Linked DNA regions of Tamandua tetradactyla. The protein of the gene in region 3 interacts with the protein of the main gene of each other region in a pairwise test. Links are inferred from orthologs where the notes say so. Each region holds a gene or a part of one and is shown on either strand. Other genes may lie near its edges.

Evidence for each region.
Region 1: the proteins of CLEC7A (region 3) and BNIP3L interact in binary tests that used the Homo sapiens proteins (3 or more experiments, as listed by UniProt). The two-hybrid records come from large-scale screens. The link is inferred for Tamandua tetradactyla from reciprocal best matches to the Homo sapiens genes CLEC7A and BNIP3L.
Region 2: the proteins of CLEC7A (region 3) and TMEM79 interact in binary tests that used the Homo sapiens proteins (3 or more experiments, as listed by UniProt). The two-hybrid records come from large-scale screens. The link is inferred for Tamandua tetradactyla from reciprocal best matches to the Homo sapiens genes CLEC7A and TMEM79.

Annotation. Positions count from the first base shown.
Region 1 is NC_135329.1:27,302,308-27,309,993, reverse strand, and holds the start of BNIP3L (BCL2/adenovirus E1B 19 kDa protein-interacting protein 3-like), read right to left. Parts: upstream 3,050-7,686; 5' UTR 2,944-3,049; coding exon 2,844-2,943; intron 1-2,843.
Region 2 is NC_135330.1:9,312,653-9,319,922, reverse strand, and holds the start of TMEM79 (transmembrane protein 79), read right to left. Parts: upstream 3,103-7,270; 5' UTR 2,984-3,102; intron 2,204-2,983; 5' UTR 2,161-2,203; coding exon 1,419-2,160; intron 1,146-1,418; coding exon 932-1,145; intron 1-931. Other genes in the region: nonsense-mediated mRNA decay factor SMG5, read left to right, coding at 6,348-6,421.
Region 3 is NC_135333.1:72,542,378-72,550,365, forward strand, and holds the start of CLEC7A (C-type lectin domain family 7 member A), read right to left. Parts: upstream 3,018-7,988; 5' UTR 2,824-3,017; coding exon 2,721-2,823; intron 631-2,720; coding exon 535-630; intron 1-534.

The DNA.
Region 1 (7,686 bases), on a different chromosome or scaffold from region 3:
CTTTATTCAGGGTATGGATGGATAAGTTAATATATAAGGACAAAAAATAAATAAATAATGGGGGGGATAAGGGGTAAAAAAAAAAAATGGGTAGATTGCAATACTATGAGAGGGAGGGTAAGGGGTATGGGATGTATTTTTTTTTTCTTTTGTCTTTTTATTTCTTTTTCTGGAGTGATACAAATGTTCTAAACATGATCATGATGACGAATACACAAATGTGAAGATACCGTGAACCAATGATTGCATAGTTTGGTGGACCGATGCACGAATATATCTCAATAAAATTTTTTTTTCCAAAAAGACACTCTGTATAGACAGGTTTACTGGCACACAATCCCGTCGTTTCAAAAAATCTCTTAAAAAATGTTTATTTGGTACAAAATTTATATTTTGACTACTGCATTTCCTAATATAACTTCTGTGGAGAGATTAACTGAACACCATAAATAGATGGAACCTTGAGTAGGGCATGAGATTTTGTAGGTTTGTCCAGAGTGATGCCCCAATAAATCCCAGAGTGATTTGAACAGTGAACAGAAAAGTATTTGCAAAGTCCCCTTGGGGGAATGACAAGAAAAGGGGAAAATTCAACTTCCTCAAGTAGAGAATTCCTGATATTCTCACAAGCAGTGGGGACAATCAAAGCAAAAGGCTGAGCCCCCAGTCTTGGGGTTTGTTCAGATGAAACTTAACCCCACAAAGGATAGGTCAAGACTACTTAAAATTTAGGCCTAAGAGTCACCCCCAAGAGAGCCTCTTTTGTTGCTCAGATGTGGCCTCTCTCTCCAGCCAACACAGCAAGCAAACTCACCATGCTCCCCCTGTCTACCTGGGACTTGACTCCCAGGGGTGTGGACCTTCCTGGCAACATGGGACAGAAATCTTAGAATGAGCTAAGACTCAGCATCCAGGGATTGGGAAAACCTTCTCCACCAAAAGAGGGAAGAGGGAAATGAGACAAAGTATCAATGGCTGAGAGATTCCAAACAGAGTTGAGAGCTTATCCTGGAGGTTATTCTTATGCATTAGGTAGTTATCACCTTGTTAACCAAGATGTAATGGAGAGGCTGGAGGGAACCGCCTGAAAATGCAGAGCTATGTTCCAGTAGCCACTTTTCTTGATGATGACTGAATAATGATATAGCTTCCACAATGTGACTGTGTGATTGTGAAAACCTTGTGTTTGATGCTCCTTTTATCTACCTTGTCAACAAACAAGTAGAACATATGGAATAAAAATAAATAATAGGGGAACAAATGCTAAAATAAATTTAGTTTGAAATGCTAGTGATCAATGAAAGTGAGGAGTAAGGGGTATGGTAGGTAAAATCTTTTTTTTTTCTTTTCTGTTTTTGTTTTATTTCTTTTTCTATTGTCTTTTTGTTTCTTTTTCTGAATTGATGCAAATGTTCTAAGAAATGATGAATATGCAACTAAGTGATGATATTGTGAATTACTGATTATAGATATGTTAACGTTTTATTTGGTCTGTTAAATTTTTTTATAAATAAATTTTTTTTTTTATCAATAAAAAAAAATTAGGCCCAAGAGTCATTCCCAAGAGAACCTCCTTTGTTGCTCAGATGTGGCCTCTCTCTCTCAGCCAACACAACAAGCAAACTCACCACTCTCCCCCTGTCTACGTGGGACATGACTCCCAGGGGTGTGGACCTTCCTGGCAACGAGGGACAGAAATCCTAGAATGAGCTGGGACTTAGCTTGATCAAGGGACTGAGAAAACCTTCTCCACGGAACGGGGGAAGAGGGGAATGAGACAAAATAAAGTGTCAGTGGCTGAGAGACTTCAAACAGACTCAAGAGGTGATCCTGGAGGTTATTCTTACGCATTTTATAGACATCACCTTTTTAGTTAAGGTGTAACGGAGAGGCTGGAAGGAACTGCCTGAAAATGTAGAGCTGTGATTGTATAATGATGTAGATTTCACAATGTGACTGTGTGATTGTGAAAAACCTTGTGTCTGATGCTCCTTTTATCTATCTTATCGACAGACGAGTAAAACATATGGATTAAAAATAAAAAATAATAGGGGGAACAAATGTTTAAAAAAATCGCTTAAGCAACTTTGAGAGAACTCAAAAAAAAAGAAGAAAAAGAAAAGAAAAAAGTAACTTAGCCTCCTCACACCCACACAAGATTCAGGTAACCACTAAATTACCAAATGGATGTTCCTCACTGTGGTAACAAAAGAACGCAACAAGCGATCTCTCGTGCCGAACCTTGGGGAAAGCCCAATTCGGCGACTTTAATTCAGCTGATGCAAAGGCTCGAGGCCCACTGCACACCTGAGCTACCACAGCTCCCTCGGCTCCCCAGCCCCCGTCGTCCTGCCCTCCCACCCGTCCATCCCCCCGCGGCCCCGCTGCACGTCCCAGGTCTCCCTACGGCCCCGCAGCCGCCCGCTCCGCCCACCGTCCCCGCCCCGCCTTTCCGCCCCGCGCCCCGCGCCCCGCCCCCTCCAGGCCTCCATTGGCCCCGCTTCTGCGGCCCCACCCCGGGCGGAATCTTCTCTTCCAGCTACCGGCTCGGAACTCGGACCCCTTCTCTTCCTTCCCACTCGCACAACCCTAACACCGAACCGAAACAGCCCCAACCCAAGATCTAAGAAAAGAGGAGAGAATGGCGAAGAGGAAGACAAGAGCAAGTCTTCCTGACAGGGGATGGGAGCTGTCAGTCACACCAACATCCACCGCCTTGACCAATAGGCTGCCTTCTCTTCCCGCACGCACCTCCCTCGCCCCCCGCGTTAAGCTTGTGGTGGCGGCCCGACCAGCTCCTCCTCCCCCATACCCTTCACCAATCCCACCCGCCCAGCACTCACTGTTGAGGCCGGCTGGCGGTGGCAAAGGCTGTTCACCTTCATCGCAGTTGTTGTTGTTATTATGCAGAGGCGGCGGCTGCTCAACTAAATGAGACGACATCGTCCAACGCCTGTGAGAGCTGCGGTCGCAGCAGGACCGTCTCTGGTTCTCCGGCAGCAACACAACAAGCTGAGTCCCCCGCCCCCTTTTCTGCGCTTGCGCAGACCCGCCCCTGCGCTGACGTCAGAGCCCGCCTAGGCCACGTGATAACAACACAACAAACGACGGGGCGGGACCTGGGCGTTCCCGTGCGAGGCACAGACGTGGAGACGCGAGAGTCAGGATGACGTCCGTGCCAGGAGTGAATTCTTGCACGTAATTCGCACCGACTGGATGGAATGAGTTATACAGATGGCACTGGGATAGAGGATAGGGAGAAGTATATAATGAGGAAGTGTAAGGTGCTACTGTGTGAGCGCTCAAATCTCCCGCACCTGCAGAATCAACGTTGTTTTATCCAGTCTGTGAACATTTATTTTTCCGTATCTGTTACAGACTCTCAGTTCTCTCGTAGGTTTCGTGATGACACAAAGGAAGCAAAAAACTCAGGGACTCCTAGCATATATTAAGATAAATCTGCGGAACATTAAGACCGCAAACAGGGAACAATATGAGACAGCCCAGACTTTGTTAGTTGTCGTTTTAATAACTTTTTAAATTTTAATTATAAATTTAAATTTTTTCTAGTTTTAAATTTAATGACTTTTTAAATTTTAATAATACACGACCATTGTAAGCAATGGGAAAGATTCAGGGAAAACATGGGAAGAAAATAATTACCCCCAATCCCGTCATCTAATTTATCTCTGCGATCTACTTCATAGGAAGCTGTGTGACACTAAACCATTTATGTTCCTAAATACTCCACCTTCTTTATATTTCCATGTCTTCTTCCAGTTTCCATGGTCTGATTTATGTGTGGTATACGTTTTCTCTCAGTCTCTCTTGTCTTTTAACTTTGTTTCACTTTGAAGAAATGTAAAACTTCATATTATCAAATCTATCAGTCATATTGTTTAGGAAGACCTTCACTCTGCGATTATGAATATATTCCCCCATAATGTCTTCTAATCCTTAATAGATGTAATTTTTACATTTTACATTTAATCCATGTGAAATTTAATTTTGATATTTTGTGAATTAGCTTTGTTCTTTCCCAGTCGAATAGTCAGCTGACCCTACAATATTGGTACATTTTGAAGCCAAACATTCCACACTGATTTAAAATTGCCCCTTTGCAATGTTCTAAATTCCCACAATAACGTGGGTCCTTTTCAGGGCCCTTTACAATAACTCTATTAAATAACTGTTAGAGAAAATTTCTTCTCGTTTGTCTTTTAAAAATATTTAATAACTATTTTAACTTAATTACTCCTCAGATGAATTTTAAAATTGATTGGTAGTTATTGAAGGTAGGTGACGGGTACACTAAACTATTCTTCCAACTTTTTAATATATTTGAAATACTTTACGCTGAAAGTTTTTTTTGAATAATTGATTTTATGTCCTATTGCAAGTTCTTTTAAGATTTTGATCAGAAATGTGTTCAATTAATACACTAATTGGGGGGAATGAGTGATTGACACAATTACAACATTGTCTTCCCATTCAGGGTCATGATCTCCCTTCTTATTCTGATTTCTTTTAGGTAATTGACATTTCTTAAACTGTTTTGAGCTTTGTTATACTCTTATGCTCATCTTGTAAAAAAGTAATTTGAAATTCCTCTTCTATGATCTTGAGTAGCTTAAATTGAAAATCACTTTTCTTTAAAGATAAAGTGCAGTTCTTCTATGAAAACATGTTGGGAGTGTTAGTTCCCTTTTTCTACGATCTTAGATTTATTTCTTACTTTGGGTTATTTATCCTTTATTTTTTCTTGATTATGTTAGCAAATAGTTTATCTGTTTTATAATTCTAAAGTAAAAATGTCCTGTAATTTTCGGTTCTGCCCTTTGTTTGTTTTCTGATCCCTGCTTCCTGGTTGTACTATTCTTAATCCTTTTTTAAAACAGCTTAATTGACATATAATTCATATTATACTGTACAATGAATGTATTTAAAGTTTAAAATGTAATGTTTTGTGTATTATTCACAGTTTTGCAAAATTAGCAGAACTTATTTTGGGACATTTTATCATCCCCAAAAGAAAGAAACCCAGTACCAATTAGCAGTCATTCCTTAATTTTCCTAATTTCTTAGGTTTGATGCTTATATAATTCTTTTATTAATTTGAATTTTTAAGTCTAAGAACTTTTGCCTGATCAGAATGTGTCTTTATATCATTTCTAGCTTGGGGAATTTTTTTTAAGTTTTCTTTGAAGCCTAACATATGGTTCTTTTCAGGGAATATTCCATGAGTACTTGAAAAAAACATGTAGTTTCTGTGTTCAGGGTATCAGGTTTGATGTATCTACTGGAACTACTTTAATAGTAATGCCATTTTTTCATAGTTACTTTTTTCTCTCTGTGATGGGATTCCAAGAGATCAGTTAATAACCCCTACTCTTACTGTGTTTCTGTTTATTCTTTTATCTTCTTTAGTTATATTTGATGCTTCATTATTTGATACATTTGTTCATAATTCTTTATCATCATGAAGTGGTATTTTGTCCTCAGTTCAACCTTGTCTGATATTGTGATCATGAGCCTTGTTTTTTAAATTTTTATTCTTTAGTTGCATTGACCTGATGCACCCATTCTTTTAATTTTCAACCTGAGTCACTTGATTACAGCAAAATGTAGCTTTCGCTTTAGGATCCAACCCAAAATTCTTTTAATAGGGTAGTTTAACAAATTTACATTTACTGATAATGTAAATATGTTGGAACTAGTACTGTTATTGTATATCAGGCTTTCCATTTTAATGTCCTGAAAATAGTTTTCACTATGGGGTCTAGAGAAGCAAGGTGTTTAAAGGCATGAAAAGACAGTATCTTTCATTTTAGAAAGCTGGAATAATTCTGACAAAAATAGCTACACACAAATATTAAAAATCAATCTGAATTAGTATACAGAAGTAAAAATCCAATATTAATTCATTTCTTTAATAGTTGAAAACGAAAAGTAAACTCAATTACCAAACGCATTTGATTAAGAAGAAAAAAATAGGGCGAGGTAGATATTTTTTTAACATGATAGAGTATTCATTGAAGGTATTCTTGTTGCTAAAAACTACAAAATACTGAAGACAGAAGCCAAAGAATTATATAATTGGAGCAATATGCTGTATTCATTAATTGGAAGAGAAATGTTAAGATGATGATTCTCCCCGAACTGGTCTATGGATTCAATGCAATTATCACTAAAATCCAAGTGAATTTATTTTGAAACAACCTGATTGATTATACAATGTACATGGTAAAGCAGAGAAACTAGAACAACAAAATTTTGAAGAATGAAAGAGTTGATTTACTCTAAGTATCTGACTTTAAGGCATATATAGACTGGATAGTCTTTTCAACAAATGATGCTAAAACAATTGGATCTCCATTTGCATAACAACCCACATCTATCCATACCTTATACCATATATAAAAATCAACTCAAAATGAGTCATAGGCAAAAATTGAAACTATTAAACTCTAAAATAAAATAGCAAAGCATTGTGACCTTGGACTAGGCAAAGATTTCTTATATATGACCCAAAAAAGCATAATGCATAAAATGAACAAATTTGACTTTATGAAAAATCAAGAACCTCTGCTCTTCAAAAGACACTATTAAAATTTCACAATATGCAAATTGGGTTACCATTTTTTACTTTTCCAAATCAACTAAGATGAAGCATGAGATTTTTGTCCAGCTTCGAAAGTGTGAAAATAAGGTTAATCTCCTATACTTCTGATGGAAACTTCCATTTTTGGAAGGAGAAATTTGGAAGTATGAACCAAATCATAAATACACCCATATCCTTTGAACAAGATTCCACATTCTAAAAGTAAAAATTTCTAAAAGTAAATTCGTAAGAATGCATAGGTTTTCTCACCCAATGAGATTGGCGTTTCTTCCTTTTTCCTGTACTTTCTAAAGTGCATGTATTACTCTTATATGCAAGCTATCTATGAATGAATTTAGACAGTCTAGTCAACTCAGCATTAATGTGCAACATGAAATTCCTGGTCTCCTTATGAAGGAAGATGTAGAATTTGCTCATGTAACAAGAAGGATCTGCCTTTGCACAGGGGTGGGCAGACTAAGTAGCCTGTGAATGAAAAAAATGGCAGCTCAGAACCCTCTGCCTTTTTGCTCCTTCCCCAATGATGTATGAAGGACCATGAAAGATATCAGTTTGCATTTGGGTTGCCCTTTTTTATCACCAGGCCCCTCAAACACTCAAGGAACACACTGAATAGTGGTTTTATCTGGACTTCTCTTTATTTGGACCCTGATCTGGTTTTTAATAATGAGGATCTTCCAGCAAAAAAACAGAAATCCTCTTGTTCATGCATTCTCAAAAAATACCTGGTAAAGGCTGTTAAGACTTAACTGTTGCCCTCTAGTGGAAAAGTCCTCAAATAACTTGGTGCTATTAAAGATGAACATTAAGCTTTTCCCCTACAGCGATTTAATTACCTGTTTGTCAAACTAGACTTTCAGAGGAAACTAAACTTCGTAGTGCCTTCTATTTGATAGGCACTGTGGTAGAGAGAGCCTTTTTTATGTTATTTTAAGACTATAAGGTCGGTATGGTATTTTTACAGAGGTAAGGAGTTACAAACTCTAATACTCTTCCAGTTTTACTGGCATGTCAGAGACAAAACTATTATTAAAACTATATATATTTATAAAAACTATTTATAA
Region 2 (7,270 bases), on a different chromosome or scaffold from region 3:
TTCTGAGTTAACAGTAATTCACATGAAAAATAGAACCCTAAGGACGGGGGTGCAAGGGTAGTTCAGTGGTAGAATTCTAGCCTGCCATGCAGGAGACCCGGGTTCGATTCCTGGTCCATGCCCTTCCCAAAAAACAAACAAGCAAAACAAAAAAACAAGCAAAGCAAACAAAAATTCCACAAATGGTGTTGCAGTAATGGGATACTCACATGGAAAAATAATGAAATGTGACCCCACCATACGGCATACAAAGAAAAACAAAAACAAAAAAACAAAACCCTCAGGACATCAGGGACTACAAACTCAGAATGACAGGAGAGTAATATGACTGGCCCCATTGACAAACCAGAGAATTTTCTGCGTAGTGGGAAGGACCCAGGACAGTGAAGGGACCAGGGACATTTAGCAAAATAAAGAAAATGGGGGAGCAGGGTGTTGGGATAGAGAGAAATGAGAGGCATTTCAATATCAAATGTCTGAGTTTGTTCCAGAGATCAAAGTCAAGGTAGCAGTTTTCAGCACAATATAAAGAAAACCTTTCTAACCTTTAAAAAATAAAACAAACTGAGCACCTCGTCACAGGGGCCGCACAACTAGCAGCCAAGGGCCACCTGGCCAGAGTGCCCCAGAGGAAGAGTGGCTGCAACGAGTGGGAGTTTGACCGCGATGGCACCTGAAGGCCCTTTTGCTTTCAAGGCTGGCGTGTGTGTCTCTGAAATCAGTTTCCTGGGGGAAGGCCTATGGGCTGATCATCTACAACCAAGTGAGGTCAGGGGCAAGGGGGGAAGCACTCACCTCTCCAGGTTGCACATTTGAGCTGCTGCAGAATCCCAAAAGCCGCCCGCTGTCCCTGGCCCTCTAGCCTGTCGGATGCCTGCGGCCCCTCTGGCACCATCGCCTCCCCCAGGCCCCGCCCCTAGCCCCAACTCACCGGGAGATGGCAAAGAGACCAGTGAGCAGTGGCAGCAGCTTCAGGGCATCCTGGGGCAGGTATGTGGAGAGCACGGCCAGGTTGAAGAAGTAGAGGATGAAGAGCTGGACTGACTGGGCCACATAGTGCCGATGAATCTCCACCTCCCGCCGAGGCTCCCCGAAGGGCCGCAGGGCAGAAAAGCACAGCAGGCTCAGCCCATACACCAGGAGCCCTGGGGTGGGGGTGGGGGTGGGGGGCACATGGGGTCAGGACAGGCAGGAGGCTAGGGGGCAGGGCCCAGGGCAGAGGGGGGCAGGCCTCGCAGAAGGACAGGGCCTAGGCTGTGCCCAGTGGGGCTGGGGGTCCTGGGAGGGGATGGGCACACAGGGGGTGGGGAGCAGGGGGACAGGGGGCGCCAAGGGGCCTGGGCTCCCACTCCCCACGGCCGGCAGGCCCTGCCCTCCCCGGGTCTGGCGCCCTTTCTCCTTGCGGGGCCCGGACTCACCCAGCACGATGGGGAAGGTGGCAAAGACCCCACAGCGCAGCGTGTAGACCAGGCGGGAGCTCACGGTGGGCAGCCGCGGGGCGTCGAAGGGCAGGAAGGCGAAGGCCCCGTACAGGAGGCAGGGGAAGAGGACGAGGGCGGCCCCCACCGAGGCCACGGCGCGCAGCCCCTCGCGGCCCCCGCAGCGCCTGCAGGCCCCGCAGGAGGGGCCGGGCGACCTCACTGCTGCCTCGGCCCACTTGCACTTGGGGGGCTCCGGGTGGATGACCCGGGCGGGCCGGAAGGCTCTGCGCTGGGCCTCGGCCGTCTCCCGGCACACAGCGCGCTCCTCGGGGGGCCGCCGCTCGATGCACTGGAGGTCGATGGGCACAAAGGCCCGCGCAGCCTTCGTGGGCAGCAGGTTGTCATCGTCTCCGGGGAGTTCCTCGGGCTTGGTGGGGGGCTCCAACTCGAGGGGCTCTGGCCCCATGTCCCGCCAGCCGGGGGGATCGGGGAATGGGGCACTGGGCTGGGGGCCAGTCCCCCAGGGCAGGGTGGCAGCCTCGCTCACCGTGCTTCCCAGACCAGCCTCAGTCTCCTCCGCAGCCGTGGGACACCCCGCTGGAGAGCCTGCTCTGGGGCACTCGGCTTCACCTTCCTCTTCTGGCTGCCGGCCATTGGGAACCAGGGCCTGGGGTGGGCTCTTCTCCAGGACCTCAGGTCCCTTCACTTCCAGCAGGGTCAGGGTCTCGGGCTCTGTCATCCTGGGGCCTCAGGTCTGGGGTGTATCGTGAGCTTGTGTCACCCTGCAGGGAGCAGAGGGAAGCTCTGTCAGAGGCCCCCGGCCCTTCCGAGCAGTTGGCAGAAACTGGAACTCTCCAGAGAGGCCAATCTCATGGGCATTGGTCTCTTTTGGGACCTTAGGGAGAACATGGTGTGGAGGGAGATGTTGAAACAGAGGGAGGAGGGAGGGAAGAAGTGAGCAGCTGAAATGGAGGCACCTTTCGACATCAGGTGCCATCCAGCAGGAGAGGGTGAGTCAGGGGGCACAGGCCCTGGCAGCTGCGGCCTCAGCCGGCCCGCCCATGCCTTCTACCCCTCCACCAAAACCCCTGGGGTCATGGCCACCCTCATCCAGGAACGAGAGGAAGAGGAGGTGTCTAGAATATTGCCGAGCGTTTCCTTCCCGCTAAAGATCTTCCTGTGGTCAGAGAAACGGCCCCTCCAACTTCCCACCTCCCCACCTCCCTGCTTAGGTAGGACTCTCCTGGAGGTGGTACCTGTGATTTGCCAACACATGTGTCCCAAGGGGCTGGCAGTCCCCAGGTGGCCTGCCCCCTCACCCCCAATCTGGGTACTTGGTCAGTTGCTGAATTCCCCATTAGCCCACCTCCGCAGAGTCCTGGTCTGTCCATTCTCAACTTCTAGGCTTAATCATGGCTGTTTCCCATGCCTCCTCTCCTGCCTTCCTCCCCTGCCTGCTGCCCTCCATCTCTCTGCTCCTGTGGATGAGACTGAGTCCTCTCCTTCCATGTCCTGGAGTGCCTGCCTACCCTCAACCATTCAGACCCATGAGACCCTCTTACTTTCCATTTGGAGAAGGCAGCGGGTCCCTGGCGTCCCGGCCCTCCAGGAAGGAGCTGCCGAACTCCCTGCTGGTTCTGCAAGTATTTCTCTCGGACTCCCTCCCTCTACCTGTGTCTCCAAACCTGTCCGACCAGAGCAGGTGGAGCCCAGATTAAAGGCGCAGGCCCCGCCCTGCTGTATCTGCCGACAGAAAAAGCCTTTCTGGAAGTGGGGCTGCTGGAAGTAGGAGGCAAGTGGAGGATGTGTAGGAGCTGCCAGCCCAGGAAGACAGAGCAGGGAGAGTGGGTCTGTACACCTAAAGGTGCTTGGAGTAGGTTGGGATATCCAGAAAAAAAGTGGAATTCGTACATTCATTCATTCAATCAATATTTATCGAGCACATATTATTAGCTAGGTATTGGCACAGATGAGAAAAGCTAACAGGCAAGGCCCCTACTCTTGAGGAACTTACTTATGTTCTATTGGAGTGGCAGAAAGTGAAGAAGCTTAGTAACTAAATAAGACAAATTCAGTAAGGGAAACGTTTTTAACAAGGTGGCATTTAAGCTGAGACCTGATGAGAAATCAGGAGTATGTGCATTCCGAGCAGAGGAACAGAAGTGAAAGGCAACTGGTGGGAAGGATTTAGATTTGAGCTGTTTCAAGAACAAAAAGAAGGTCAGGTGAATTGTGGCAGGAGCATCAGGTGGAAGGGGGAATTTATGTTCCCATTATAACAGGTATACGGGTCCAGGTGATTGCTGGAAAATATGCTTACCCCAGCTGAGGTTAGCAATATACTCTTTGTACTTAGTTCCAGAAGGACATTAACCAGACCTTCTTCGTTCTTCTTACAGGGATAAAATAACAGAATAGCATCACTGAGCCCTCAATCTTGGAGTTTGTTCCTATGAAACTTATCCCCGCAAAGGATAGGCTAAGCCTACTTAAAATTAGGCCTAAGAGTCACCCCCAAGAGAACCTCTTCTGTTGCTCAGATGTGGCCTCTCTCTCTCTCAGCCATCATGACAAGCAAACTCACCGCTTTCCCCTCTACATGCGGGACACGACTCCTAGGTGTGTAAACATCCCTGGTAACGTGGGATAGAAATCCTAGGGTGAGCTGGGACTCAGCATCATGGGATTGAGAAAATCTTCTTGACGGAAAGGGGGAAGAGAGAAATGAGATAAAATAAAGTGTCAGTGTCGAGAGGTTATCCTGCAGGTTATTCTTATGCATTGTATAGATATCCCCTTTTCAGTTTAAGATATATTAGAGAGGCTAGAGGGAAGTGCCTGAAAATGTAGAGCTGTGTTCCAGTAGCCATGTTTCTTGAAGATGATTGTATAATGATATAGCTTTCATAATGTGACTGTGTGATTGTGAAAACCTTGTGTCTGATGCTCCTTTTATCTACGGTATGGACAGATGAATAAAATGTATGGATTAAAAATAACTAAACAGGGGAAACAAATACTAAAGTTAAAAAATATATATATTGGGTAGATGGAAAAACTAGTGGTGAATGAGAGGGAGGGGTAAGGGGTATGGTATACATGAGTCTTTTCTTTCTTTTGGAGTGATGCAAATGTTCTAAAAAATTATCATGGTGATGAATATACAACTATGTGATGACACTGTGAGCCACTGATTGTATACCACGTATGGAATATTTGTATGTTACAAATGTATGTGCTTGTATGTTGTTTTATCAATAAAACTTGGAAAAAAAAAAAAAGAACACCCAGTAGCTCAGTGAATCAGTGACAAAAAGTTTGACATATCTGAAGGTCAGCTAAGAAAAGTGATGAGCATAAGAGCTTCTACGTCAATAACTAAATCTTATCACCAAAGCTGAAACAACAAAATGTGCTTGAGACAACACAGGGTTGAGAAATTTGCTGGTGCCTTCCTCATGAAGATCCAGTGTCATTGCTGACCTGACAGGAATTAATCAAGTGGCCATTACCTAGTTTTTGACCCCTTATAATCCTTCCTTTACCTATTAAAACGCTTAACTCACACCCCCACTTTGAACTGGTTTGGGGACGATTCCTCCAGTTCCTTGCAAAGTGTACTTGCAATAAATCACCTTCACACCGAGAGGTTTGTTTCTCCTTTATAGCACCGGGTCAGGTGGACCCTTTTATGGAAAGAGCTGTGCTTGTGGTATCACAGAAACACCTTGCTGTTTAGGTCTGGTTTAAGGTTAAAAAAGTAATAAGAGGGGGTACAATGGTAGTTTAGTGGTAGAATTCTTGCTGGCCATGCGTGAGACCCAGGTTTGATTCCTGGATCATGCACTATCCCCAAAAACAAACAACCAAACAACAAGCAAAACAAACAAAAATTCCAACAAAAATGGTGCTGCAACAACCGGATACTCACATGGCAATATAATGAAATATTATCCGGCCATACAGCATACAAAAAAATAAAAAGCAATAGGAATCCTAGTTAGATACCAAGTGATCTTTCCAATGTGAGGACCAGAGGCCAGAACGTTAGAGAGCAGACTAGAGAATGACTGTTCATCTTCATGGGACATTATCCCTAAAATCACTGGAACTCTTTGAGAGCAGGGACAGTGTTCAGCTTGCTCATCTCAGCGTCCCCACAACCCAGCACAACCCAGCACAGTGCCTGGATGACAGCAGGTGTTCAATAAATGTTTTCCGGACTGGTGCTAGATACATGTGCAAGCTAGAAAGCTTTGAGAGCGGGAGGTGATGGATTGAGACACTTGTACAAAAGTCATGTTTTCTCGGGTCTTGCTCCTAAGTAGTACTCGATTCTTTCCGAGGAAATGTTCACGTGCGCTTTTTTTTTTTTTTTAAATTATGGGGAAAATGGAGAATTGGAATCGTTCTAACCAGCACTCTGAACAAGGCTCGGCTCATATTGGGGGGGGGGGGGGGGTAAGGATGGGAAGGACGGGCAGAAAGATGAGCCAAACCAAATGAACACAGTAGGACAAGACAAAGCAAGGCTCCTAGGCTGCCTGCCTGCCCAAACTCAGCTGAGCTTCAGCCCTCTCACTGAGTCCACTGTCCGCTGTCTAGCAGCTTTGTCAATAAAGTTTTTCTCAAGGGCTTGGAGTAGCCGGAAAGAGGCCATGATGCCCAGAGTTAGTTCTGGCAACTTCCCGGGAGGGAAAATGAGTTTCGCGAGATTTGGCAGCAGCCGGCCACTGGTCTGCACCTGTGCAGCTGTATCGCGAGATTTGGCAGGCGGAGGAGGAGCTGTCGCGGGCAGCCGCCTCACAGCGATGGCGGCCGAGCAGGGCCGGCAGCGGTGGCGGCTGCGGCCGGAGACGGCAGCGGTGGCGGTAGCGGCGGGTGGTGGGGGCCTGTGACCGGGAGCTGCCCCCGGGCCCGGGCACCATGAGCCAAGGCCCCCCCACAGGGGAGAGCAGCGAGCCCGAAGCAAAGGTCCTCCATACTAAGCGGCTTTACCGGTGAGAGGGGCCGGGGTGTGAGTGCAGCCACCTAGGGAAGAGGGGGACAGCGGGGGCGGGGCCTCCCAGGCGGGCGGGGCCCGGGTGCCGGGCTGGGGAGGGTGCGGGCGAGGGAGGACCGTGCAGTTTTGGAGGGAGCAGGTGAGGCGCGGGACCCGGTAACCCGGAAAGGAGCTGAAAAGGAATTGGGTGGGTGGGAGAGCTGGAGGAAAGCACGTGGAGGAATACTTTCCGCAGGCAGCTTGGGTCGGGCGCCGAGCTTTGCGGAGTTGGGATAAGAGTCTGCGAATTGGGGGCTGGAGAGGTTGGGGAGGTGAGAGTGGAGTCACAGATGGCGAAAAATCCGGAAGAACCCGGTGGGGATTCTTTGTGAATGGATGAACAGGGGAGAGTCCTGAACTAGAGAGAGCCAGGTTTAGGTCCTTGCTTTGACACTCTTTCGTTGTGTGACCTTGGGCCTCAGTTTCCTCGTTCTTAAAAGGAGAGATCTGCATTGGATAAGCTCTGAAGTCTTTCCTGGTTCTAATTTTTGGGAGTTTGCGTAGAGAGACACCGGAAGGCTAGTTGTGTTGAACTGGAACGTCTAAAAGGACTTTGGGTCCAGGATGTTCTTAGGAAGTTGGAGCCCATGTCAGGACACCTGGGAACGGGAATCTTGCCTCTTCCCAGCTTCATGATACATTTTTTTGCCAGGCAGCCTCCATTCCTGGTTTCTGATTTTCACCCTGCCACCCACACTCCTCAAGTCCCATCTTCAGCCCTTGAGTCCTCTGTTGGGAACAGGCCAGTATAAACTCTTCCCACCCTGGATCAAGGATTTTTTGGGTGGAACAGCTGGAACATAGGCCC
Region 3 (7,988 bases):
AGAAAATACCTGCTTAGTACTCTGTAAGTGCTGTAGGAAATACCTGGTACATTCAGAGGACTTTAGACTAAAATAAGTTACAAAACAATTTCCTTAAATCACAGAATTTGTGAGAATAGCTTTTAATCCCATTAATGAATTTATGTCATTATGTAAATAGTGCCATATTGTACATTGTTGTTGAACTCCAGTGGTTTCCTTGTACAAATTTACCCTGGGAATTCCACACATTTGAAACCAACTTATCCAAGGGAGGCAAAAGACCAGTATAGTTACAAAGATTAGTTTTCTAGATAGATTGACTAAATTTTAATTTGTGTGTCCACCTTTAAATAACCTATGACCCTGAAAATGTAAAATAACATCCAAGTCTTTAACCTCTAAGAAAAATGGAAATTAATAGCACCAATTCAGTAGGTTATTGTAAGTATTAACTGGGATTATGTAAGAAAAGCTCTTTAAAAAGTGTCTGATACATAATAAATGCTCATTAAATGTTTGCTGTTGTTGTTAACCATTCCCACAGACACTCACCCATAGTGCCCAGGACCACAGCAATCACCAGTATTACCAGAAATAGGAGTCCCAGGGTCACAGCAATGGGACACCAACAAGATGTGGCACAAGTTCCTAAAGAAACAAAGGAAGCAGACATTGAGTGAAGAAGCAGGATGAAGTATCATGGCTGTGGTGGTTTGAAGGTGTTATGTACCCCACAAAAGGTCATGTTCTTTTCATCCATTCCTGTTGTTACAGACCTGTTGTAGGTGAAAACTTTTGAGTAGGTTATTTCAATTGAGATGTGATCTGCCTCATTCAAGGTGGGTCTTAGCACTTTGAATGGAGTCCTTTATTAAAGGTTAAAGGACACACAGAGAAAAAGCCTAGAGTTTCAGAGAAGACTCACAAAATCTGAGCGACAAAGACACACCCACAGAAGCTGATGGAGGAAGCCACTGAAGCCTGAAGTTAAAAGCAATGAATTTTAGGAGAGAAGGACCAGCAGGACACAGAAGCATCCCAGATGCTGGCAGTCTTTCTTTAGAATGCAGATATCGTCCTGTTGATGCCTTCAGTTGGACATTTTCATGGCCTAAGAACAGTAAATTGTAAATTAATAAATCCCCATTACTAAATGCCAACCCATTTCTCATATATTGCATTTTGTCAGCTTTAGCAAACCAGAACACTGGCACTCTTACTTCTACAGGTCATCAAAATATGACAAATTCTAAGGAAAACCATGAGTCACTGCTGCCCAGATAAACTAGACATGTAGGATTAGTCTGAATTTCTTTCTGGAACTCTAATTTGCGCACAGAGCCTTGGTGTCTATGCACTCTAAATTTCAGTTTCACATTTGATGCCTCTAAGCCTTGTCACTACCAGGAACCCTGAAATCCCATTCCTTCTCAGAGGACACAGCTTTATGTAGGGGAAAGAGTACTGGTTACTGAGGGTGGCAAAATCAAAACATGAAGCATCTCTTTTTCACTTATTTATTGCATGACCATGGGCAAATTACTCCCTATCATTTGTTATTTTTCTTTGTGGAAAGCTGAATAATAATACCTCAAGTGATTTTTGTGGGGATTAAATGTACTAACCCTTGTATAAAGGAGTTAGTTTAGGGACTACCAGCAGATTTTTGGTACTCAGTGTTTGTCCACACATAAGCATAAATACACAAACACCTCCCCACCTCTTGCCTCACCGAGTTTTCCACTCTGCCCAGTGGTTGCCCAAGAAAATAATTATACAAGCAGGGTGAGATGGAAATAGTTGTGCAATGTGAACCAGCAGAAAGCAGAAGAGAGAGACTTCTCATGTCAAAACTTAGGAATAGTCTCTCCCTTGATAATAACAGGAAACGAAATTGTGCTAACTTCACCACTTCAAGAATGCATTTCTGTTTTTAACTGAGAATAGGTAATAAGAACATTTCATAGAATTGCCAAGTTGGAGACTCACAGAGGAAACTAAATCACTCATTCTATGAAGAAACAAATCTTTTTACTACCCTACTCCATATTTCAGTACTTACATTTTGTTTAAGACCCATGTCCTGCTAATGGGATCATTTCATTTAACATATATATTTTTCATCATTTGTATCCCAATAACTTCCTTTAGTTTTTGGGATACAAAAATACACATAAATCAACCTCTCATCACACAAATCATTGAGGATTCTACACCCTATGATTTCTGATAGGCCTGTGGCCTTTAATCATACATTACAAGTTCTTTTGCTCTTCGTTTCATCCCTCACCTATTTTTCATCTTTTCATTCTTCTCTTTCTTATCTGTTGTTATTGCTCATTTGCAACATTATATATATTTCTACAAACTATACCATTCTAGCAAACAAGCTACAAGCCACTCTTAAAGGAATTCCTTCATCTTTACCTATGATTTCACTTAGTACTAGTTTTTTACTGCTGAAGTATTACTGCCATCATCATAATTAATTTAAAAACCTATAACTAGCTACCAAATGCTATTATCTAGGTTACAATGATAAAAATTTTAGTGTACATTCAAATTACTTTGGTCATTCAAGTGACCAAAAGTCACTTCAGTGACTTTTGGAAAGCTAAACTTTAAATATGTTAATAAAATCCCTACATATGACAAATGACAATTCTCTCAAATTTTCACCACTTACATACTTTTAGATGATGACAAAATCCGTGTTAAGAGCATAAAACAAAAATTACCTTTCTTTGAAACCAAAGGTCTCCTGGTGATGCCTTGAGATGTGAAATTTAACTGTGTATATCCATCTTCATCCAAATTTTCAAAACCAGTATTGCTTTGCATTATTGTATTGAATCCCTGAACAGACCCAGCATTTGGGAACTCTTTCCTCTTTCCTTCCAACTTAACTGCCCATGCACAAGACAGTATCTATGAGTCAAATCATGTGGGATGGACAAGTTGAATTTAAGTAGTCCAACCAGATACACAAAAGCAGGAAATGAAAACTATGCTGTTGTAATTTCCCATTTGTGCTTTTAGATCTTGTTTTTGAGACTTTTGACTTTAAGAAAAGTATACAGCAGCATAGTAGGTAGTTCTTTGTTTCAAACCAAATAAATAAGAATATATAGATGGGTGTCTGATGCTGTTCTCACGACTCTACAACTGAATTTTACATCACTAATGACTTAGCCATATGTAAACTATTAAGCAATTTTGATTCTTTGAATTCAGTATTGCTTCATCATACTTAAACATTCTTTTATTTTTGTATTCATTCATTCAGTAAACTCCTATTAATTATTCATCTTTTCAATTGCTAGGAGTTGGGGATAAAAGAATAAATGATACCTGTGAAGGAGCTCTTTGCCTAATAGGGGAAATCCACAGGCAGTTTTGGGAGGGATATAGTAAGAGATGCATTATTACAACAACAGAGAGAGGAATTAAATATCTTTGGGATTTGTCAGGGAATAGTAATACAAAGTAGTAATCAGTTATTGAACAATTATTATGTGCTAGTACTGCATGTTGCACATTTTCTCATTTAATCGGTTTTCCAGCAAGCCCATGCGCACAGGTATTATTATTCCTATATTCAAATGGTGACAGCGTGACATAGAAAATTCAGTCCTTATTCAACTTTAAAAAGCTAATTTAAAAATGGAGTAAAGAATAAACCAAGGTTTACTCTTCTTGCAAATCTCATGCTCTTTTCTGTTTTCTTACCCTGCCTCCTTCACCATTCTGTTCATTTCTGTTGCAATTAACAGTTTATGGAGAGTTCTTTCTTTGAATTTTCATAATCATGACCAAATCAATGATATATGGAAAACACTTATCACTGCTGGAAACTAGAGTGGTGTTCAATCCATTTACCAAACTTTGAAGGGAGCAGAATGCAGGAGACATCTGTCTAAGGTGTATCAAAATGGATGAGACTTCACTGGAGAGTAAATAAATGGCTGTCCCCTCCTTATTTAATGTACCACAAAAGTTCTACTAATAATTTGTAGATACGTTGCAAAGTGGTAGTGTAGATCTAATCTCAATAATTTTAACCTTCCAGTTCTATAATCCAGTCCTTGGAAAGCAGGGAATACCATAATATTTGTCACAGAGAGATTGACTTGGCTCAAAGAAGAAGGGTCAGTCTAGTAAACAAAACCAGAAAACAATGATGAAGGACGCATCTCCCTGGAAGTAACTGGCGAAGTTGACTTTATACTGTCAATTCAAGCTCTTAACCGAAGTCTTTCTGATGACAAGACTTTTGTTCTCCATGACTGTTTTAGTTTGCAAATCTGCCAGAATGCAGAAACGGAATGGCTTTTAAATTCATTAAGTTGAAAGTTTACAATTCTAAGTCCATGAAAATATCAAAATTAAAGCATCAGGGAAAGAAACTTTGATTCAAGAAAGGCCAGTGGGTCCAAAGCACATCTCTCAGCTGGAAAGGCACATGGTGACATCTGCTAGCTTTCTCTTTTCATTTCATAAGGCTTCCACAGGGGCATTCTCCTTCTGCATCTATAAAGATCTTTGGCTGTGTGGGCTCTTAACCTTTTTCAAAAATGTTTCCCTCCTGAAGGGCTCCAGTAAGGAATCCCACCTTGAGTGGATAGAGACACAATTCCATGGAAGCCATTTAATCAAAAGTCACCACCCACCATTGGGTGGGTCACATCTCCATGGAAATAATAAAAAAGATCCTGTCCAGCAATACTGAATGAGGATTAAAGGACATTGCTTTTCTGGGGTATATAATAGCTTCAAACCGGCACAATGACTGTCTTCCATTTGATCACAATCCAACAAAATAATTGGTTAAGGTGCCAAAGAAAATGTTCAATAAACAGAAACTTTAGTTTTCTTTTATCTGGGACCAAAATAAGTGAACATGTATTTATTACAACCACAAGGCTGACAACTAAATTGACAACCTGGGGTGGGGGTGAGGGACGCTCAGCACCGCAAGGAGGAGGTGAAAGGAGACAGTCTGAGCATTACAAAAATATATACCTGGATAAACGTGAATATAAGAAAGAGGAGAGACACAAACAAACCTAACCTAAAACCAAATAGGCAAGGGACAATGATCCAATCCATCTTCATGAGGAGATATGATGAAACATTGTATTCATTATGCAAGAGTGATCTTCCAAGAAAAATGAGGCAGCGGAGAAGAAAAGTGAGTTCTTTGAAGTGGAAAACTCATTTTATAGATTTAAAATTTAATTAACTGAATGAAGAATCTAATTGAATATCACATAAATGAAAGAACTGAAGCAACTGCATCCAGAGTCTTCCTGGTCACTCACTCATTTTTATGTATGTCAAGCTCCTCCCAGAACTGAGTCTCAAAACTAATGTCAAAGTAAATAAAAGTCTATTTTGTAGGTTTACTAGAATGAGTAGCATGTCAGGAAAATGCACGAGACAAGAGTCTGAAGTATGTCAGTCCAATGTAATTTTTTGAAATTTTATACTTATAAAAATAGAAAAAAACAGAAATAAATGGGTAAATGGATTAGGTGGAAAACAAAAACATTGAAAGAAAATAAACTAAGCATTCATGTAAGAACCATTGCAGAAAAAAAACAAGTACGTCCTCAGGAAATAGCAACATAAGTACCTTCCCTGCTCATGCTCACAAATTTCCAACAAATAATCAAATTTCACCTCCAATTTGAATTCTCACATGTGGGTCTCATTCCTTCCTTTCTTCATTTCTTCATCTCTCAATTCCTGCCTCCATCCATCCTTTAAGCAATTAAATAGCTGCTGAATATTTACAACATTCTCAGAAGCTTGGGTACAAAGAAATATGAGGACCTAAGCCCATTTCAGTTGGGTTCACATTATACTTGGCAGAAAAAGACAAATAAAAATTACTTTAATATCCTTTGGTTGGTGCAGACCACAAAATTGATGTATTTGCTTATTACAAGTAAACTAATTGTCATAGAACCCTTTCTTAGAATGCCTTAAAAAATACAATTAAATCAAAATATCTCTATTAAAAAATCAATCAATCTTCCATAGTGAAAAATGTACCCTTCACCATCTTATCTTATTTCAACTCTTCTTTCCTAGATCTATTTACTCTCCTGCCTCCCTACTATTTCAGTAATTTCAGTTTGCTACTTTTTTCACATTCTATACATACTCTTGAAGATTCCTCCTGCCTTGTTCCCCTTTTCTTTCATTTATAATATGAGAGAAAATGTATGTGTGTGTATGTATGTGTACATATCTATATATATCTATATAGATAGAAACCACACTCAAATGGGCCTTGTATTTGAATCTTCCCATGTTTCTCAAGTAGAAATGGTACATGTGTGGAATTTTCTTGTTTTTAGGTGCTTGTAACTCTGTGTCTTCACCAGTCACTGAATTTCTTTTCATTTAAACCTAAAGCAGATCATTTCTTTTTTACTGCCCTCTCCTCTAGATAGCAAAATGATTTTCAGTAATAATTACGAAAATGGAATAAATAAAAATGGCCAGAAAACAAATGTAGACAATGAAAAGTATTCTTATTGAGCTTTATATAAAAAATATGACAACAAAAATAAACAAGAACATGCAATAGATACAATACTATTAAAATAGATTTTACCACACAAAATACTTTCAATTACATGAGTAAAACCTTTTGAATTATATTTATATATTTTTGAAAAGAGCAAAAGTACTTGTAACCATATATTGATTTGCCACAACAATAAATAGCAACATTATAATTTCTGTTTTAGACCCAATCATCTCCAAATTTGTCAGTGATTTCAATAAAATTATTTTTTATACATCCATTTACTCATGACTGATTGAAGAAAGCTTATTTCCTCTAATTTTTTTATTTTATTTTTTTATTAATTAACGGAAAAAAAGAAATTAACCCAACATTTAGAAATCATACCATTCTACATATGCAATCAGTAATTCTTAACATCATCACATAGACGCATGATCATCGTTTCTTAGTACATTTGCATCGGTTTAGAAGAACTAGCAACACAACAGAAAAAGATATAGAATGTTAATATAGAGAAAAAAAATAAAAGTAATAATAGTAAAAAAAAAAAAAACCAAAAACCTATAGCTCAGATGCAGCTTCATTCAGTGTTTTAACATGATTACTTTACAATTAGGTATTATTGTGCTGTCCATTTTTGAGTTTTTGTATCTAGTCCTGTTGCACAGTCTGTATCCCTTCAGTGCCAATTACCCATTATCTTACCCTGTTTCTAACTCCTGCTGGACTCTGTTACCAATGACATATTCCAAGTTTATTCTTGAATGTCGGTTCACATCAGTGGGACCATACAGTATTTGTCTTTTAGTTTTTGGCTAGACTCACTCAGCATAATGTTCTCTAGGTCCATCCATGTTATTACACGCTTCATAAGTTTATCCTGTCTTAAAGCTGCATAATATTCCATCATATGTATATACCACAGTTTTTTTAGCCACTCGTCTGTTGATGGACATTTTGGCTGTTTCCATCTCTTTGCAATTGTAAATAACGCTGCTATAAACATTGGTGTGCAGATGTCTGCTTGTGTCTTTGCCCTTAAGTCCTTTGAGTAGATTCCCAGCAATGGTATTGCTGGGTCGTATGGCAATTCTATATTCAGCTTTTTGAGGAACCGCCAAACTGCCTTCCACAGTGGTTGCACCATTTGACATTCCCACCAACAGTGGATAAGTGTGCCTCTTTCTCCGCATCCTCTCCAGCACTTGTCATTTTCTGTTTTGTTGATAATGGCCATTCTGGTGGGTGTGAGATGTTATCTCATTGTGGTTTTGATTTGCATTTCTCTAATGGCCAGAGACATTGAGCATCTCTTCATGTGCCTTTTGGCCATTTGTATTTCCTCTTCTGAGAGGTGTCTATTCAAGTCTTTTTCCCATTTTGTAATTGGGTTGGCTGTCTTTTTGTTGTTGAGATGAACAATCTCTTTATGAATTCTGGATACTAGACCTTTATCTGATATGTC